Linked DNA regions of Callithrix jacchus. The protein of the gene in region 3 interacts with the protein of the main gene of each other region in a biochemical or structural test. Links are inferred from orthologs where the notes say so. Each region holds a gene or a part of one and is shown on either strand. Other genes may lie near its edges.

Region 1 (4,945 bases), on a different chromosome or scaffold from region 3:
TGATGAATTAATGAAATAGCAGAATTACTATAAGGTTCCATGGTTTTGCTCTTGAAAAAAAAAAAATCTTGGAGACACTCATTCTGTTAGCTCTAAAAGCTTGTACTAATGGACATAAGTTATAGAGCCAAACACTCTAGAAAAGGAATTTCCGCCTTTTTAGAAACCAGAGGGCTTAGAAATAGAGAGGGCATCTCAGCTGTGTGCAGTGGCTCACAACTGTCATACCAACACTTTAAGAGGTTGAGGCAGGAGGATTGCTTGAGGCCAGGAGTTTCAGCCTGGGCAAAATAGTGAGACCTCATCTCTAAGAAAAAAAAATTTTTTTTTTAATTAGCCAGGTGTGATGGTGCACACCTGTAGTCCCAGCTCCTCAGGAGGCCAAGGTGGGAGGATCCCTTGAGCCCAGGAGTTGGAGGCTGCAGTAAGCTATGATTGCGCCACTACACTCCAGCCTGGGCAACAGAGCAGACCCTGCCTCTAAAACAAACAAACAAAAAATATTTAAAATAAAAAGAAATAGGGCATCTTTTTTTTTTTCATTCTGTCACCCAGGCTGGAGTGTGGTGGCATGATCACAGCTTACTGCAGCCTCTACTTCACGAGCTCAAGCAATCCTCCTACCCCAGCCTCCTGAGTAGCTGGGACTACAGGCATGTGTCATCACACCTGGCTAATTTTTATATGTTTTGTAGAGACAGGGTTTCACCAAGTTGCCCAGGCTGGTCTTGAACTCCTGGGCTCAAGAGATCTGCCTCCCTTGGCCTCCCAAAGTGCCGGGATTACAGGAGTGAGCCACCATGCCTGGCCTTAGAGAGGGCATCATTTGTTTTTTTGTTTTGATTTTTTTGAGACGAAGTCTCCATCTGTCACCCAAGCTGGAGTGCAATGGTGCAATCTCGGCTCACTGCAACCCCTGCCTCCTGGGTTCAGGCAATTGTCCTGCCTCAGCCTCCCGAATAGCTGGGAATACAGGCAAACACCACCATACCCAGCTAATTTTTGTATTTTTGTAGAGATGGGGTTTTGCCATGTTGGCCAGGCTGGTCTTGAACTCCTGATCCCAGGTGATCTGCCTGCCTCAGCCTCCCTAAGTGCTGGGATTACAGGCGTGAGCCACTGTACCTGGTCAGAGAGGGTATCTTAACCAGGATTACTCACCATTATCATTACCACTGCCACCACGATTTTGTAACTGAGGAATTGAATTAAACTCTTTATCTTAAGATTTGTCCGTTTCTTCTCTCTCAGAACGAAGCAGGCTAAGTGGAGGAAGAGAGGTCAAGAGGGAAGATACGGAAACTCACCGTCTGAGGCCGAGGAAGACTCATCCTCATTGTCATCTTCGTCCCACTGGGACTGAAAGTCTTTGGGACGAAGCAGCACTTTTTCTGGCTTTGAAGTCGGCAGGACAGACATGGACTGGGAAAGGGGCGTTTTCTGCAGAGTCGACTTGGAAAATAGGGTCTTGATCTTTGATTTCCTTTTCTTGTCTTTGGGCACAGACTCATCATCACTGTCAACTGAGGGTGTTGTGCTGGGGACGATGGCAGAGGCGGTGTCCGACCCACTGTCCTTCTTCTTCCCCTTGATCTTGTCCTTCAGTTTTCCAAAAGGATTCCGAGACTTGTCTTTCATGGAAAGGTCAAACATGCTGGCAGTCATGTTGTTTCTCATAAACTGAATGTCAACTTCAATTTCTCCTCGCTCCTTGTCTTTCTTTCCTGGTTTGGACGTCAATTTATACCACCTGAAAGGAGAAAGGCTGAGTTACCTTTGAATGGAAAAGACTGCAAAAATGTTCACAATTGCCATGAACTGGCCTCTCTTCTCGGCTACCAGCAACCTGTTTGATGCATGCATTCTTAGGCTTTCTCTTTGGGGAGATCCAGATGAGAGCAGATTTTTTTTTTCTTTTTAAGACAGAGTCTTCGGCCGGGCGCGGTGGTTTAAGCCTATAATCCCAGCACTTTGGGAGGCCAGGGCGGGTGGATCATGAGGTCAAGAGATCGAGACCATCCTGGTCAACATGGTGAAACCCCGTCTCTACTAAAAAATACAAAAAATTAGCTGGGCATGGTGGCGCGTGCCTGTAATCCCAGCTACTCAGGAGGCTGAGGCAGGAGAATTGCCTGAACCCAGGAGGCGGAGGTTGTGGTGAGCCGAGATCGTGCCATTGCACTCCAGCCTGGGTAACAAGAGCGAAACTCCGTCTCAAAAAAAAAAAAAAAGACAGAGTCTTGCTCTGTCACATAGGCTGGAGTAAAATGTTACAATCTCGGCTCACTGCAGCCTCTGCCTCCCAGCTTCAAGTGATTCACCTGCCTCGGCCTCCTGAGTAGCTGAGATTACAGGCACTGGTCACCACGTCCGACTAATTTTTGTATTTTTAGTAAACACAGGGTTTCGCCATGTTAGCCAGGCTGGACTCGAACTCCTGACCCTTAGGTGATCTGCCCGCCTCAGCCTCCCAAAGTGCAGGGATTACAGGCATGAGTCACTGCACCCAGTAGAGAGCAGAATTTGCACTTTTATTTGTATTTCTTTTGTTCATTTTTTTTAAATTTTGCACTTTTATTTTTGAGAAGACATGCACTACTAGACAAAGATAGGATCCAGTGTTGTACTTAGCATATAATAACGTAAAATCCTGATTCAATAAAGAGTTCATTCTAAAAATAAAGAAAAAAAATATTCCATGGAATCACTTCCGATGACTAAAGTTTTCCTTCAGTAGAGTAAAAATGCAAAGATCAGGGCCAGGCGCAGTGGCTCACGCCCGTAATCCCAGCACTTTGGGAGGCCCAGGTGAGTGGATCACAAGGTCAAGAGTTCGAGAACAGCCTTGCCAATATGGTGAAATCCTGTCTATACTAAAAATATAAAAAATTAGCTAGGTGTGGTGGCAGGTGCCTGTAGTCCCAGCTACTCAGGAGGTTGAGGCAGAAGAATCGCTTGAACCCAGGAGGCAGATGTTGTAGTGAGCTGAGATCATGACATAGTATTCCAGCCTGGGGACAGAGTGAAACTCCATCTCAAAAAAAAAAAAAAAGCAAAGATCATATACAAACAGCTAAGAAGGGTGGCATGCAAATGTATAATTAAATCTCCAAGAAAATCAAGTTTGTAGTAAGGAATAGTCCCTGCTAGGGAGTAATAAAACATACAAGGCAGAATTTAAAAGAAAAAAGGTGGGGGAGGAGACTGGGCATGGTGGCTCACACATGTTAATCCCAGAGCTTTGGGAGCCTGAGCCAGGAGGATCACTTGAGGCCAGGAGTTCAAGACCAGCCTGGGCAACACTGCAAGACCCCATCTCTATAAAAAATTAAAAATTAGCTGGCATGGTGGTATGCACCTATAGTTCCAGCTGCTCAACAACATGAGCCTAGGAGTTCGAGGTTGCAGTGAGCTATCATTGCACCACTGCACTCCAATCTGAGTGACAAAGCAAGACCCTGTTTCTAAAAATAAATAAATAAAAATAAAGAATTTTTAAAAAAGAGTGTAATCAGGCCAGGTGCAGTGGCTCACGCCTGTAATCCCAGCACTTTGGGAGGCAGAGGCGGGCAGATCACCTGAGGTCAAGACCTCGAGACCAGCCTGGCCAACATGGCGAAACCCCATCTCTATTAAAAATGCAAAAATTAGTTGGGTGTGGTGGTGAGTGCCTGTAATCCCAGCTACTCAGGAGGCTGAGGCAGGAGAATTGCTTGAACCCAAGAAGCGGAGGTTTCAGTGAGCCGAGAGCATGCCAGTGCACTCCAGCCTGGGCAACAGAACCAGACTCCATCTCAAAAAAAGAGTTAAATCAGTCAGTTAGAAAATGACAAACACTATATGAGTCTGCTTATGTGAGGTTCCTGGGGTAGTCAAATTCACTGAGGCAGAAAGTAGAATGGTGATTGCCAGAGGAGGGGAAGGAAAGAACGAGGAATTAATGTTTGATGGATATAGAGCTTCATTTGGGGAAAATTTAAAAGTTCTGAAGATGGATGGCGGTTATGGTCACACAACAGCATAAATGTTCTTAATGGCACTGAACTGCACACTTAAAAATGGGGCTGGGCGTGGTGGCTCCGACCTGTAATCCCAGCACTTTGGGAGGCCGAGGTGGGCAGATCACTTGAGGTCAGAAGTTTGTGACCAGCCTGGCCAACATGGTGAAACCCTGTCTCTACCAAAATACAAAAAATACCCAGGCATCATGGCACATCCTGTAATCCTAGCTACTCTAGAAGCTGAGGCAGGAGAAACGCTTGAACCCAGAATGCGGAGATTGCAGTGAGCTGAGATCGCGCACTGCACTCCAGCCTGGGCGACAGAGCAAAATTCTGTCTCAAAAAAAAAAGGGGGGGATAAAATGCTAAATTTAATTTTATATTATGTTTTACCACAATAAAACAAACGGGGAATTGAAAAGGAAGCCTTCTTCCCCAGCTTAATAATCAGAAAAAGGAACATTTCAAATACTATTCAAAGTATTACACTAGGTCATTTGCCATCTACTTCAAGATGTGGCAAATGACATTATATCAGTCCAGCTCCACTGAAAGACAAGCTTTAAAAAAGGAAATCTCCTCATGACATTCATTTTCCATCTAAGAGCCCTGTACCTTTAGTGAACTGTAAGAATGTGAGCCAGGCTGGGTACAATGGCTCACACCTACAATCTCAGTGCTTTGGGAGGCTGAGACAGGAGGATAGGTTGGTTCAGGAGTGGGATCTTGCCTTGCTGCTTATACAGTGAGATCAGTATAAGCAACAAGGAAAGATCCTACTTCTCTAAAAAACACACACATATATATATGTGTTTGTGTGTGTTTTTGAGATAGAGTCTCGCTCTGTGCCCAGGCTGGATGGAGTGCAGTGTCGTGATCTTGGCTCACTGCAATCTCTGCCTCCTGGGTACAAACAATTCTCCTGCCTCAGCCTCCTGAGTAGC
Region 2 (4,945 bases), on a different chromosome or scaffold from region 3:
AGAAAGGAGTGGTGGGCTGGGAAAAGAGAAGAGTCTGAAGCGAGGGGAGGATGGAGAGGACGGAGACTTGGAGGGACTGTGAGACAGGCCTGCAGGCCTCCCTTAGCCTCAGGTCAGGGGCTGGGCTACCGATGGGGTGACCAGTGCGAGCTCCCGCTGTCAAGACTCCGGAGAGCGACAGGAAGGTCCAGCTGTGACCTCCTGCAGCACAGCGCCCGCCCTCCCCACCCACCTCCCCCTCCTCCCGCAGGCCCAATGCTTGCTCACTCACCGGGTGCAGGGGGCAAGGGGGTCGGAGAGACCTCTACATGCCGCTTCCTCATGTCCTCAATCCTTTGAAAACAGAAACCGTCCAGTCAAGGCACATGCTTCTGTAAAGCTCCATGGCTGGACTAGTGTCAGAGAAGCTCTTGGAAGCTCAGGTGAGAGGAGAGGGGCCGCAGTGAGTCCTAACCCAGAACGCCAGAAGCCATCCATCTCCTGCAGTCACCACTGGCAACCCCCTAGTGTTGCACCCACTGCTCACAGGGGCAGACTCTCAGAGGCCCACCTGGCCGACTCCTGACAGCTGGCCTTCAATTTGCTGTACTCCCTCTGCAGCTGCTCCAGCTGCTCCTGCAACAGCTCCTTCTTCTCAGCCAGCTTCTCCCGGGCCTGCCTTTCAGCCTGGAAGTCCGCCTTGTAGATGTCCGCCTGGCAAATCCAAGAGAGAGCGATGTGCCCACCACAAGCCAGCCACCCACTGAGCACTGTGACAGGCACAAAGGAAACAGATATGTCTGCAAGTGACACCAAGTGCACTGAGAGGTCAAGGAGCAGCACAAGTGGCTGAGAAGCTTACGAAAGGCCACCACAAAATGACGCCAAACAGGCCAGGCATGGTGGCTCATGCTTGTCATCTCAGCACTTTGGGAGGCTGGAGTGGGTGGATCACAAAGTCAAGAGATTGAGAGCGGCCAGGCCAAAATCGTGAAACCCGGTCTCTACTAAAAATACAAAAATTAGCCGGGGCTGGTGGAGAGCGCCTGTAATCCCAGCTACTTGGGAGGCTGAGGCAAGAGGATGGTTTCAACCCAGGAGGCGGTGATTGCAGTGAGCTGAGATCCTGCCATTGCACTCTGGCCTAAGCAACAAGAGCAAAAATCCATCTCAAAAAGAAAACACACACACACAGAAAGACACCAAAGAGACACAGCAGGTCCCAGCAGGAGGGCGGGCCAGAGAGGAGAGCCCTGACCTGCGCCTTCAGCACCGGAACCGTCTCCATCACCATCTTGTGCTGCTCGGCCTCCTCCTTCAGCTTATCGATCAGCTCCTGTTTGGCCACCAGGGCCTCCTCAGCCTGCTGGAGCTGCTGCTTGAGATCTTCCAGCTGCATTCCCTAAAGACAGGCAAGGGGAGCTGACGGACCCTCGTTGGCCGAGGGCGGAACTGGCAGGGAACTGAGAAGGACAAAACAGTGGCCCTGGCTGACCAAGCTGGGCGATGCCAGCCGCTTGATTTTAGGGCCCGCTGCAGGATCTCAGCATGAATAGGGAGAAGACCGCATCCTCTTGCGGCCCAAAAGGACAGAGCAGATGCTGAGGTTTTCTTCAGGACCAAAGAGGCCACACTGAGGTCACCTGGCACAACCTCCCAGCTGGGCGGACATTCCCTTCCCAGAATCCCCAGCTGCACAGCCCTCCTCCCACCCTTCACAGGACATGGGCCATGCCCATGCACAGCGAGCTGGCCCGTGCCTGCTGCATGCACGGCTGAACTGAGAGCCCTCGCCCTTTCCACTCTGCACCTGGTCAGAGGTGCGCTCATCCCACACCGGCATCGCCAGCCCCCCCACACACACAGACACACACTGCCAACCCTTCCCTCCAGAGATTATGTGGCCACTTGTGTCACTAACTCTTCCTCATGTGACCTTGCTTCAAGCTTTGACAGTGTCCTGCTAAAATGGGATCACTAGCAAACTGCACCCAGCTTAGGTCCGAGGAGGACAAACTAGGAAAAGGCTCCTAGCCAACATTGGGGTGGAAACGTTGCCGGGCTTACCTTGGCTTGGGGGAAACTGAGCCAGGAGCGCAGATGCTGATGGCTGGCAAGAGGGAATATCCACAGAGATAAGATATCCCCAGCCCCATAGAGGACGCATCCTGAGGCTCTGCCCCAGCCCCCCATTATGGTGGCCTGCCAACATTCCTGAGAGCAACATCCCAGGGTCGCCATCTCCCTACAGCTTCCCTGAGCTGTCACAGCTGCAGCCTGACAAAGGTCTAGGGCAAGTCAAGGATCCCTACCAAATGCCCACTCTCAAGGTTCAGGGATGTGGGGAGAGGAAGAGGCAGGGCTAGCCCTAGAGCCCCGGCGGCCGCACTCACTCGCTTCCGCTCGCTGCTCACCACACTGCTCTTGATGTGGTTGTCGTATTCTTGGAAGAGCTGGTGATAGGCCACCTGCAACTGAGCCAGCTTCCGCCTGAGGAAAAGTGGCATGCGCTGGAGAAACCACCTCAGGCCAGTCCTGCCACAGTTCCGCCTGCTTCCACCTCTACCCGCCTGTCCCTCCTGTGCATCCCAGGCCTGGAGTGGGGTCTTCCAAGGCTGGGTGAGGATTCCTGAAGCTGTTGGCTCTGAGGCAGGCTTTGCTGGTCCAGTCACCAGGAAGTTAATATCATTTTCCTTAAAGCTAACATGTTTAAATATTTATAATAAAATCATGGCCAGATATAATTCCCATACTTTGAGAAGCCAAGGCAGGAGGTTGGCTTGAGCTCAAGAGTTTGAGACCAGCCTGGGCAACATGGCAAAACTCCAAGTCTACCAAAAATACAAAAGTTAGCCGGGTGTGGCAGCCTGCGCCTGCAGTCCCAGCTACTTCGGAGGCTGAGGTGGGAAGATTGCTTGAGCCCACGAGGCACTAGGTAAGCCCACAGTAAGCCGAGATAATGCTCCTGCACTCCAGCCTGGACGATAGAGCAAGACCCTCTCTTGAAAATAATAGTAGTAATAATATAACAGTAACAACAATACAACTGAACTACCCTGCACTCTTCAAAACTGTGAACTTCACAAACAACTCAGAAAGGCCGGGTAACTGTTCTAATTAAAGGGGACTGAAAAGGCACGCCAAGGACAGGAACCTGAGGCCACAGGTTGGATGCTGGTAGGAAGGGGACATTGGGGGTATTTTTGTTGTCTTTCTGTTGCCAAGGCTGGTCTTGAACTCCTAGGCTTAAGTGATCCACCTACCTTGGCCTTCCAAAGTGCTGGGATTACAAGCATGAGCCACAGCACCCAGCCTGGAGGGGGTTTGAAAGGACAAGTCCCCTAATGACCTGGTGGCTAAGAAAAGAAGTACAAAAAAGGCCATGTGTGGACACACAGTGAAACGTGGTCTGGATAGCAGATGGCATGATTGTATCAAAGACAAACTGGTTGTCATCATGGTCGCCTCTACTGTTAGCAAAGCTAAGTGACAGAATGGGCCCACAGCCACAGACAGAATATGAAGGACTCCCCAGAAGGCAGAAAGGACCATAGACCCACCGCTTCTTGGCCTTTTGGCTGAGAACAAGTGTAGAACCAAAGACCCTGTGATGCGGCCCTGCCCCCATGACTCACTTCTCCTCCGAGGCGGCCTGTCGCTCCATGCGAAGTGCAGCCTCCACACTCTGGCCCTGCATGCGCAGCTGGTCCACCTGCACACTGTGCTGCTGCTGCAGCGCCTCACGCTCGCTCTCTAGCTGCCGCACCTGCTCACTGGCCGCCCGAGCCCTGGCACAGGGAAAGAGCAGACTCAGGGAGGATGAACGGGGGAGAGGAGCGGCTACACGCAGGGCATCGGCAGAAGGCGTCTGCTCCGAACACCCTGTGACTATAAGCCAATGCAAGGCAGCAGGGTGAAGACACTGTCACCAGACACGAGGACACCCGCAGTGCCCGGGCCAGGTGACAGGAGCCCTCAGAACTGCCCACGGAACTCCAATGGGGGGCTGCTGGAGGCCCCAGCAAAAGCAGTCTCTGTGGAGAGGGTCAGGAGAGACCGTTCTACAAGTGAGACACAGCCCACCGGGGTGTACAAGCACTGAACTCAATGCAGACCAGGCCTCGGCCCCATCCCTGCTGCTGCCTGGAGCTCTGCTGGCATCCCAGATGCGCTGCGTGGAGGCTCAGTTCCCTTAACCTGCAGTTTCCACGCTCTGGCCTCATCCCACGGCTCCGAGCCCTTCCACGGCCTCCACTGCAGGACGATGGTGGGTGCTTCTGTGCAGACCCTGGGTGGCCTCTGGCCACAGTAGACATAGCCCTCTTCCAGTCACCCCAACTCCGCCTGACAGGTCTGGCTGCCTGGCTCTCTCCGCTCTGTGCCTGCCCGCACTCTGCCGCCACACCCTGCCTGGGCTCCCTCTGCCCATCAGAGCCCAAGTCAAGCTCGCCTCCCCTTTGCCTTGCTGGTTGCCCCAAGTGTGCTCTGACCACCTACTGTGCCGGGATGGCTGGGGCCCTGTGGCAGCTGATTCATCTGTCTGGACGGTAGAAGCAGGGCCGAGTAAGAACCACGAAAACCTCCCTGACCTTTGACCCAATGGTCCCACTTTGAAGAACCAAGACCCCTTTTCAAAAGAGAGTAACCAGCAGGCCCAAGGTCCCTGCACCTGGGCTGTTTGTAGACACATCATTGCCATGAGCACCCACTCTGCTGCTGGGAGTCAGAGATTTAGGTACCTGCCTGGCAGACAATGCTGACAGGACCCACCCCCAGTAAACACCCAGGATGCTGAGTCTCTAGTGGGCAACCCTGGGCAGGAACTTGGCCCATGTGGGAGGCACTTCTTACTGTGCGCCTCACAAGTTGGGAGGAGCCTGGGACACAGTTTCTCCAAATCCACCTGCAGCTCCTGCCCTGTGCCCTTTTCCCTGTCATCAACCTCGGCCACGAGGGTGACTGTGCA
Region 3 (4,630 bases):
CACAATCTTTGTGCATTCTTTTACACAGCAAATGGGAGCCATACATAACCTTTCACAAAATTCATTTTTTAACTTTTTTTCCGGGTTTATCTGTGAAACATCAAGAAAATCAATTTATATTTTTTCCTGTTAAAACAAAGCCCCCAAAATTGAAACCTAGCAGGTTAGAATAAGTTGTTAATTGTCCACTCAGCCTTTGAATTCTTTCACTTCTGGTATTGGCCAAAACTGTCTAAATGGTACAGCTTCTTCTCTAAGGTAGACAGAAGCGATTATCGCAATAGCACAAACCACTGAAAGCATTTGTATTTTATAAATACAAGTCAGCAAAGACAAAAATTAAGATATTCATTTTCTCAATGATCAAGGACATGTGGCTAGCTCTGATGGGCAATCCAAACTCACGAAGTCTAATTTTCTGCAGAACCCTTCAGAACTTAAAAGATCACTAATGTAAGGTCACTAGCTGGCACCTCTTCTTATAATTACAATTTAGCATATTCAATGCAATGGCTAATAACTGACCCTTACATAATGACAACTACTATTAAAGAGAAATCATAGCATTTGAGAACAATGACAGAAGATTAAATCAAGGCACTATGGCTGACTTTTCAGAAGACTACCTAAAAGGTTAAAAAAATTCAAAGTTAAATAACTGAAAATCGAGGTTAAGTAGCAAAATACTTCTAAATTGCCTCAAGCCTTGAATTGTCACAACATTTTAAAATTTTTTGTTTCTTGCTTGAGACAGTTTGTCTCCTAATATACTACTCAGAATAAAGATAATTGTTAAAATGCAATCAAAGTCATTTTCTAATACTTAGTATTCCTTGGAATTCTCCCAAGATCCAACCATACCCAAGGCAACATTTAAGTCTACACTGGGGTAAAAATCCTAAGTTACTTTATTTATTTTCAATTTACTATTTAGTTTTTCTCTTTTCTTACTTTGTAAAAAAATTTACCACCAACTTTCAATAAAATGGAGATGGACTATTTTCCTGGGTATGGTGACACTGTTATATATGAAAGTACACACTACTTTCCTAATGTTTTGGAACATACTTTTTCCAAGAAGAGCATAATTGAACTGCAGGTCTAAAATCAAAGCTGAATTCACACACTGATGCTGTCAATTCAATGTTTACTCAGTAATGCAAGAACCTATGCTTTTACATCAGGATTCCACAGCTGCATCCAAAGCACTCAAAGGAAAAATGTAATCTGACAACATTAGAAATAATCCCCCTATAACTGTTTATTAGAATGTGAATATATTCCAAATCAATTACTAAAAAAAAAAAAAAATCAAATTACAGAGCATGCATAAAATACAAAGTAGCAATTTACAAATAGATATTATCTTCATAACCAACACACTAAAATAATAAAATGGCTATAGAAGAAAACCAAAATGACTGACTACAGCAATGCCTTCCATGTGCCCCACACATCATGAGCACCGCAAAAGACAAAAGATTAACTATGAAATATAGTAATCTAAGCAAGCCCACACATACATAGTTTTGGGGATTTCCCTTCCCACCATCCTGAATAGTATCACTGCAGTTGACACAACTTCCAGAAAACTGCAGAGTAAGTACTTAATATTATCCACGAGAAAGCAAAACTAAGTATCAGTGTGCACATTTCTGAATGAGAAACTAATTGCTTCACTGATTTCAACAATGTAGTGGAAGAAAACTATTGCAGGTCTCCACAATGCCTAAATGCATTCTATTTAAACTCAAGGTACTAATTCATTTTGCATACTAAAAGAATACATGCCTTTAAGTGGTACCACTTGAGCAGAAATTAACCTCTCACTGTATTCTTTAGACATACTGAAACCAAGATTTAACTGGACTGTATTCCATAATATACTGCAAAACTCAAAATATTAGCATTGTTAAAATAATTATCCATGCCTGCTGGTGGATATGGTGATAAAACTAGGTTGCATTTCACTTACTGGAAGGTTTTAAGACAAAATTAACACTTCAAATTTTGATACTACCAGCATTAAACCAGTTATTGCCTGAGCAATAAAATGCCACATAATCTACTGCTTGGAAATTATTATAGATCATTTAAATGTTCTGGGCTGCCTGATCATTGCAACAGAGGCACCTGAGATGGAATTCCACAAGTCTCTCCAGTTCAAGCCTGACAGGCAGCACTGTTTAACTTATGGCCCCATAACCATATTACTAATGAAACCGTAACAATCTTGTGTTTATTAAGAGAATTCTTCTCCAGAAAAAGTGCCCCCTTCTCTAATCAACTTTGACGCTTACAAAAATTTAAAAACAAAATTTACTCAACTACATAAACCCATTAAGGCATTTTAGAAATTGATGTCCAGAACAATGGAAAATTGTCAAGCTCTCAAAATCTTGCTATGTTTATAGGGCAATTCATAGATTTGTGGAAATATACACTGCACTGAGAGAAGAGTGTATTACCTGTAAGCTGCTCTGTGGCAAAATGGTAGCTTATTTCTAAGGTCTTCTGAGTTTGATTTGATCAAGACCAATAGGTCTGAGCTTCAAGTGATCAAGTTCTATTATGTCCTACAATGACAGGCTTCCATGATGAAAAGTAAACAATAATTGAGGAATCCAAACATTCAGTTTATTAAACTAAGGCTAGTGAAGCCATAGCATGAAAAAAAAGCTGCAGTCATTCGGGACAAGTGGATGATTTTATAAAGCTAAAATCAAAAGACTTAAGACATGGAAAAATTCCTAAGTAGGAAGTAATAAAACACAAAGGTGACACAGGAATTACAAATATATTTAAATCTCAGACCTGGGAAATGGACTATACACAGCCTTCTAAGGGAGAAGAGAAATGCCTTAGATGTTCTGACAGCACTGCACCTTTGGCTTGTTTTCAGTGGTTGGTGGAACATGAATAGGAACCACATTGTTGCTTGGAGACATGTCATTTTCCCGTCTGTCTGACATTTGCTTCTGAGAAACGATGCGGTAAATCTCTGAAGGAAAAAAGAAACCACAAGACTTAGTGTGAATAAACCTATCAATAGGATAAAAGATACGTAGAGGTAGGAGATACACTTGCATCCAAGACCATAAGGAAATTAAACAGAATACATAAAGCTTTATTTTTCAAACAGCCACTGATTATAGTCAACCCCTTATTTTAACAATTGCCCTTGGGGTAAGATAAGAAACAAAAATTTTTCCATTTCAGAGGGAAAGGTTCACCCAGTCAATCTTTGTTTAAAGAAGTAAACCAGGTTGGGCTGTGGTAGCTCACACCTGTAATCCCAGCACTTTGGGAGGCCAAGGTAAGTGGAGGCCACCTCCCAGGTTCAAGTGATTCTCCTATTTCAGCCTCCCGAGTAGCTGGGACTACAGGCCTGTGTCACCACACCCGGCTAATTTTTGTATTTTTAGTAGAGACGGGGTTTCACCATGTTGGCCAGGCTGGTCTCAAACTCCTGACCTCAGGTGATCCACCCACCTCGGCCTCCCAAAGTGCTGAGATTACAGGCGTAAACTACCATGCCCACTGAGAATACCTTGTTCTTAAGAGATAAAATGTGTAAGTATTTAGTAGCAAAGTGCCACAATGTCTACAATTTACTTTCAAAGACTGAATAAGAGGTGAAACATACAGAAAGATTTTAAAATGTGGCAAAATGTTAACAGCTGATGATTCCAAAGGAAGATTCGTGTCCACTGTATTTATTCCATAACACTTGTAAATCTTTTAAAGTTATAGAGAAAAAAGAGAAAGATGCATATTTTTGAGCTGCTCTGAGAACGTATCAACCACCGTCAATAAAAAAGTTGATACAGGAAATTTTAATATTGCTTAGATAATAGGATAGGGAATTATTGCCAATTTTTCTTTCTTTCTATTTTTTATTGCCAATTAAGTGGTTTTGTTATGAGTTTACATTCTAATTTTTAGATATACATCCCAAAATGTCTACAAATGAAATGAAGTAATAGCTGGGATTTGTTTCAAAGTAATGGAGGAAGGAGGTAGAGGAAAGACTGGTTATTAGCTGGTGGTTGTTGATGGCTACAGGGGATTTCATGATACTATTCTGCTTTTGCGTTTCTTTTTTTTTTTCTTTTTGAGACAGAGTCTTGCTCTGTCACCCAGGCTCGAATGCAGTGGCGTGATCTTGGCTCACTGCAACCTCCACCTCCCAAGTTCAAGTGATTCTCCTGCCTCCACTTCCCAAGTAGCTGGGATTACAGTTGCATGCCACTACATCTGGCTAATTTGTGTATTTTTAGTAGAGATGGGGTTTCACCATGTTGGCCAGGCTGGTCTTGAACTCCTGACCTCAGGTGATCCACACGCCTGGGCCCCCCCAAAGTGCTGCAATTACAGGCACAGAGCCTAAATTCTTAATTCTGTAGTTGAAAGTTGTTTGGGGTTTTTTTTGGTTTGTTTGTTTGTTTTTTCAGACAGAGTCTCTTAGAAAAGAATGGGACCATAAAGAAAAAAGAAAAAAAAAAATGAAAGAGATAGTCTCACTTAGTTGCCAGGCTGGAATGCAGTGGCACATTCTTGGCTCACTGTAACCTCTGCTTCCCAGGTTCAAGCGATTCTTCTGCCTCAGCCTCCAGAGTACCTTGGGACT
Region 4 (4,945 bases), on a different chromosome or scaffold from region 3:
GAGCAGAACTCAAGTAGCTCAGGACAAAGGAAACAGGCCAGCTCAGGACCCGGCCCGCCTGCCCCCTGAGGATATGCTTAGGTTGGTTCTACCACTTTTGACCTCAAATGCTATCCTAGACCAAGGGGCCACCTGGAGGACACCGAAGACCCCAGGTCGGAGTAGACGTTGGTCCTGGTCTCGTCGTCGGGGCAAGGGCTGCTGGGGGCACAGTCCACGTCGTCACCCTCCCCATAGTCTTCAAACTGCTCCTCGTTGCTGATGAGCGAGGTGGTAGAGTGTGTAGAAAGGTCCGAAGTTGTCATGGACGGAGTGAGGACCAGGGACCTGAGGGTCAGAGGAGGACTCATGGGCCCCCATCCACAGCCGCGGTGGGGAGGCTGACCAGGCATTTCCCTTTAACTGGCGCTACCGATCAAGTCTGTACCTCTTGACTTGTTTTTTTTTTTTTGAGACGGAGTCTTGCTCGGTCTGCCAGGCTGGAGTACAGTGGCACAATCTCGGCTCACCGCAACCTCCACCTCCTGGGTTCAAGCGATTCTTCCACCTCAGCCTCCTGAGTAGCTGGGACCAAAGGCATGTGCCACCACACCTGGCTAATTTTTGTATTTTTAGTAGAGACGGGGCTTCACCATGTTGGGCAGGATGGTCTCAATCTCTTGACCTTGTGATCCACCCATCTCAGCCTCCCAAAGTGTTGGGATTACAGGCGTAAGCCACCGCGCCCGGCCCTCTTGACCTGTTAAATACATTTTGGGGACCCTATCTAAAGGGAAACATCTTGCCACATAAACCGTTACTGCAGTTGAAATCAATTCTACCCATGCTACGCTAGAGTAGCAAAACATTGCTTACAACCTAAGTGTCTAGCTACAGCTAAACCAAATTATAATTATTAAATTATAATGCTAGTAAATTATTAAATCGTGGAATATCAAATCGTTGTTGAAAGATGTGTTAAAACATTGGGAGTAATATAGAAAATGAATATAAATATAAATAGATCTAAACTTTTAGCTACTGTAACACTGAGTATGGTTGTCCCTTGGTATCCGAGAGGGATTTGTTCCAGGACCCCCCGTGGACACCAAACTCTGAGGATGCTCAAGTCCCAGGTATGAAATGGCATAGTATTCACATACAACCTATGCACATCCTCCTGCATCCTCTAAATCCTCTCTAGATTACTTATAATACCTAACACAATGTAAATGCTATGGAAATAGTTGTTATACTGTATTATTTTTTAAGTTTATCTTTTTTTTTTTTTGAGACATAGGCTCATTGTCGCCCGGCCAGAGTGCAGTGGCGATATCTCAGCTCACTGCAGTTTCTGCTTTCCAGATTCTAGTGCTTCACCTACCTCAGCCTCCAGAGTAGCTGTGAGTAGCCTCCCAAGTAACCTCCTGCCACCACGTCCAGCTAATTTTGTAATTTTAGTAGAGACGGGGTTTTTGTCATGTTGGCCAGGCTGGTCTCAAACTCCTGGCCTCAGGTGATCTGCCCACCTCGGCCTCCCAAAGTGCTGGGATTACAGGCTACTCCCAGAAAGCAGCACGGCCCCTCTCTCCATCCACAGCTTCAAAGGGCCCCATCAAGAACATCCGGACTCTGACATGTACTAGGTTGAACTACATGAAATTACCTTATTTTGAAGATGGAAATGATTAAAAGCTGTCAATTTTATATGGTTCAACCAACCCTGGAACCCCTCTCTTCTCTCCCTCCAAGTCCCTGCAGCAGCCATAACCATCACCTTCTTCTGGTAAGGGGCTGCCACTTACAATCCCCTCAGCTTCCTCAGCCACAGTGGTGGTGGCTTCCCACCACCCACAGCACTGTATTCCTCAAGAGTCTTGGCGAGGGCTGAAAATGGAAAGGAATCCTTTCTGCCGACACCAAAGTTAAAGATGACACTGCTTCCCTGGGAAGTCACTTAGGTCTTAATATTGCTTTTAAATAACATTTCTGATTATGGGAGTACATGCTTAATGTAGAAAATATAACAGAGTAGATGGGAGGTAATTAAAATGATCATTCTACCATACAGAAATAACTGCTTAGTTTTCTAGATTAATTTTTTCTAGGCATTTCCTAACATACATGTCTATGTTTTGTTTTTCAGAAATGGGGTCTTGCTATACTGCCCAGGCTGGAGTGCAGTGGTTATTCACAGGTGTGATCTCACTACTGATCAGCACACAAGTTTTGACCTGCTCTGTTTCTGACCTGGGCCAGTTCATCCCTCCTTAGGCAACCTGGTGGTGCCCCACTCCTGGGAGGTCATCATACTGATGCTAAACTTAGTGCAGACACCCACCCGATCGGCATTGTGCACTAGAATCCAGAAGATTCTCCTGCCTCAGCCTCCCAAGTATCTGGAACTACAGGCACGTGCCAATTGCCTGGCATAGGTTTGTGTTTTTAACAAAGCTGATCTTACGGATATCTTGCATATCTTTGCAACCTACCTTTTTTTTTTTTTAAAAAAAGACAGGGTCTTGCTCTTTTGCTAGGCTGGAATACAGTGATGTGATCACAGCTCACTGTAATCTTACATTCATGGGCTCCAGTGATTGTCCTGACTTGGCCTCCCAAAGTCCTGGGGTTACAGGTTGTGCCTGGCCACAACCTGCTTTTTAAAACAATGAGATCATATATCTCATATCATTAACTAGTCATTTAAAACTTGACTTTGGCCAGGCATGGTGGCACTTTGGGAGGCCAAAGTGGGTGGATTGTGAGGTCAGGAGTTTGAGACCAGCTTCACCAACATGGTGAAACCCGGTCTCTACTAAAAATATAAAAATTAGCTGGGCATGGTGACATGCACCTGTAATCCCAGCTAATCAGGAGGCTGAGGCAGGAGAATCACTTGAACCCAGGAAGCAGAGGTTGCAGTGTGCCGAGATTGTGCCACCGTACTCTAGCCTGGGCAACAGAGCGAGACTCTGTCTCAACAATAAATAAATAAGTAAATCTTGACTTTGTCTATAGGACTAGGACTGAAAATAAAGTAAAATTAAATTTAAAACCTTGACTTTGCATTGCTGCCTAAAATTCCAAATTTAGAATCTTCTGCTTAGAATCTTAGAATCTTCTGCTATTCAGAATACCCATGATGCTAATGCCTCTGACACAAATTTTGAGCACATTTCACATTTACTTCCTGGAGACACTTTCTAAGAGCCACATTTCTGGGCCAAGAGGCAAATACTAAGCTTCAGGCGGTTTTAACTCACTTGTCCTCTGGCAGAAACAGGCCCCCGAGTCCCCCGTCCTTCTCGGCGGGACTCCCAACAGACCCCTCCAGGCTCTGAGTGCTCTCCATGGGGCTGTCTGTGTCCAACTCCTGGGGGCCCTCAGGCGGGGCCAGCGTCATAGCCTCCTCCTCGTCCTCGGGAAAAAAGCCGGGCTCCCTGGGGATGAGCTCGCCATCAGCAAAGGTGGGGCCTGTGACGTCGATGCCCTGGGAAAGACAGAGGGGAAGATGAGTGAGGCCAGCTTCCCAGGGGTCAGTGTTCCAATCAGACTGCAAGGGCATCAGCCAGGCCTAAACAGCAGGGATTGGGTACAGGAGGCCCAGACCCCAAGACCCTAAGTGTGGGAACACCTGGCAGGTGATTAGTCCCAAGGACCTCTCATACTGGCTGACTCATGAGCATCTAGTGAGGAGGTGGAACTCTCAGAAATGGCCATCCACAAAGAAGGGCCACAGTCAGGCCAGCCACATCATTCAGGGCACCCTGGCACATCAAAGCCCCAGCTGAGGCAGAATAGGGTCTGGAGGCAGGGAACATAAGGTTGATTCACACTGATTTCCTACAGCTAAATCAAAGGAAAACCCCAACTTTCCACACCCAACTAACCACTTCCTTTGCATTCCCTGCCACCCCTCACCACCCTCCACCCCACCACCCGCACCCTCCACCTTTTCTGTCTGGCAGATGAAAACTGAAAGTATCTCTGATTGGTCCCTCCTGCAACCAATCAGGCTGGTCAAAGGTTGTCTTCATTTGCATAGGAGTATAATTTTGTAACTTCGCTTTAACCTCTGATCCATTGCTTTCCTCAATCAATCAGATGTTCACATAGGGTGTAACTTTGCAACTTCACTTCAGCCTCTGATTGGTCCTCTCCTGCAATCAAACTGATTGTGGGCCACTGCTTCATTTACATAGGGTATACACCAACTAACCAATGGGAAACCTCTAGATGGTATTTAAACCCCAGAAAATTCTGCAACCAGGCTGTTGAGCCCCTAAGCTTGGGTCTGCTCCCAACCTGTGGAGTGTACTTTTTTTTTTTTTCAATAAATCTCAGCTTTTGTTGCTTCATTCTTTCGTGTGTGTGTGTGTGTGTGTGCGCACACGCATTTTGTCTAATTCTTTGTTCAAGACACTAAGAACCTGGACACTCTCCACTGGTAACACCACCAGAAGTCTGCAGGAGGCCAAATGGCTTTGAGGCGGCTTCTTGGCGCTCCATGTAAGGGCACAGCCACACTGAATAGCTTTTAGGAGCAACAACCCTGGCCTAGTAGAGTTTGCTGCAACGTGGTATAGTGAAAGCTGCACAACTTGGGGTCACCCTCCATGACTCTGGGCACGTCACAAAATGTCTCTGAACCTCAGTTCTCCCCTGTAACTCAGAAATGGCAACAGAGCCTTACAGGATCACTGTGCTGATTCAATGAGGCTCTTCACATTAGCATCTAACACACAGTAGGGCCTCAATGAATAAACTCCAGTCAGAAGATGTGATGTCCAGCCCAGGAGGCAACCACCTATCTGGGCCCCACCACAGCCTTGCTGGGAGCAAGGATGCCAGGCCTCCCTTCTGAGCATTGCTTGTGCTGGGTCCAGGGCCCAGCATGATAATGGCATGTGTTAAGGACATCACACCTTTCGCTAAACACATCAGATAGAAGAGCTTTGGCTTAGTT

Evidence for each region.
Region 1: the proteins of RAB11A (region 3) and RAB11FIP1 form a complex in vitro, tested with the Homo sapiens proteins (2 studies listed by BioGRID, with this or other methods). The link is inferred for Callithrix jacchus from reciprocal best matches to the Homo sapiens genes RAB11A and RAB11FIP1.
Region 2: the proteins of RAB11A (region 3) and IKBKG are reported together in a solved structure, tested with the Homo sapiens proteins (2 studies listed by BioGRID, with this or other methods). The link is inferred for Callithrix jacchus from reciprocal best matches to the Homo sapiens genes RAB11A and IKBKG.
Region 4: the proteins of RAB11A (region 3) and RAB11FIP4 form a complex in vitro, tested with the Homo sapiens proteins (2 studies listed by BioGRID, with this or other methods). The link is inferred for Callithrix jacchus from reciprocal best matches to the Homo sapiens genes RAB11A and RAB11FIP4.

The regions. Positions count from the first base shown.
Region 1 is NC_133514.1:38,775,904-38,780,848, forward strand, and holds part of RAB11FIP1 (rab11 family-interacting protein 1), read right to left. Parts: intron 1,751-4,945; coding exon 1,308-1,750; intron 1-1,307. UniProt on the Homo sapiens protein: A Rab11 effector protein involved in the endosomal recycling process. Also involved in controlling membrane trafficking along the phagocytic pathway and in phagocytosis. Interaction with RAB14 may function in the process of neurite formation.
Region 2 is NC_133524.1:150,351,376-150,356,320, reverse strand, and holds part of IKBKG (NF-kappa-B essential modulator), read right to left. Parts: intron 3,768-4,945; coding exon 3,615-3,767; intron 2,470-3,614; coding exon 2,373-2,469; intron 1,382-2,372; coding exon 1,238-1,381; intron 694-1,237; coding exon 551-693; intron 334-550; coding exon 272-333; intron 17-271; coding exon 1-16. UniProt on the Homo sapiens protein: Regulatory subunit of the IKK core complex which phosphorylates inhibitors of NF-kappa-B thus leading to the dissociation of the inhibitor/NF-kappa-B complex and ultimately the degradation of the inhibitor.
Region 3 is NC_133509.1:12,897,367-12,901,996, reverse strand, and holds the end of RAB11A (ras-related protein Rab-11A), read right to left. Parts: intron 3,002-4,630; coding exon 2,862-3,001; 3' UTR 1,247-2,861; downstream 1-1,246. UniProt on the Homo sapiens protein: The small GTPases Rab are key regulators of intracellular membrane trafficking, from the formation of transport vesicles to their fusion with membranes.
Region 4 is NC_133506.1:102,619,514-102,624,458, forward strand, and holds part of RAB11FIP4 (rab11 family-interacting protein 4), read right to left. Parts: intron 3,470-4,945; coding exon 3,243-3,469; intron 328-3,242; coding exon 133-327; intron 1-132. UniProt on the Homo sapiens protein: Acts as a regulator of endocytic traffic by participating in membrane delivery. Required for the abscission step in cytokinesis, possibly by acting as an 'address tag' delivering recycling endosome membranes to the cleavage furrow during late cytokinesis.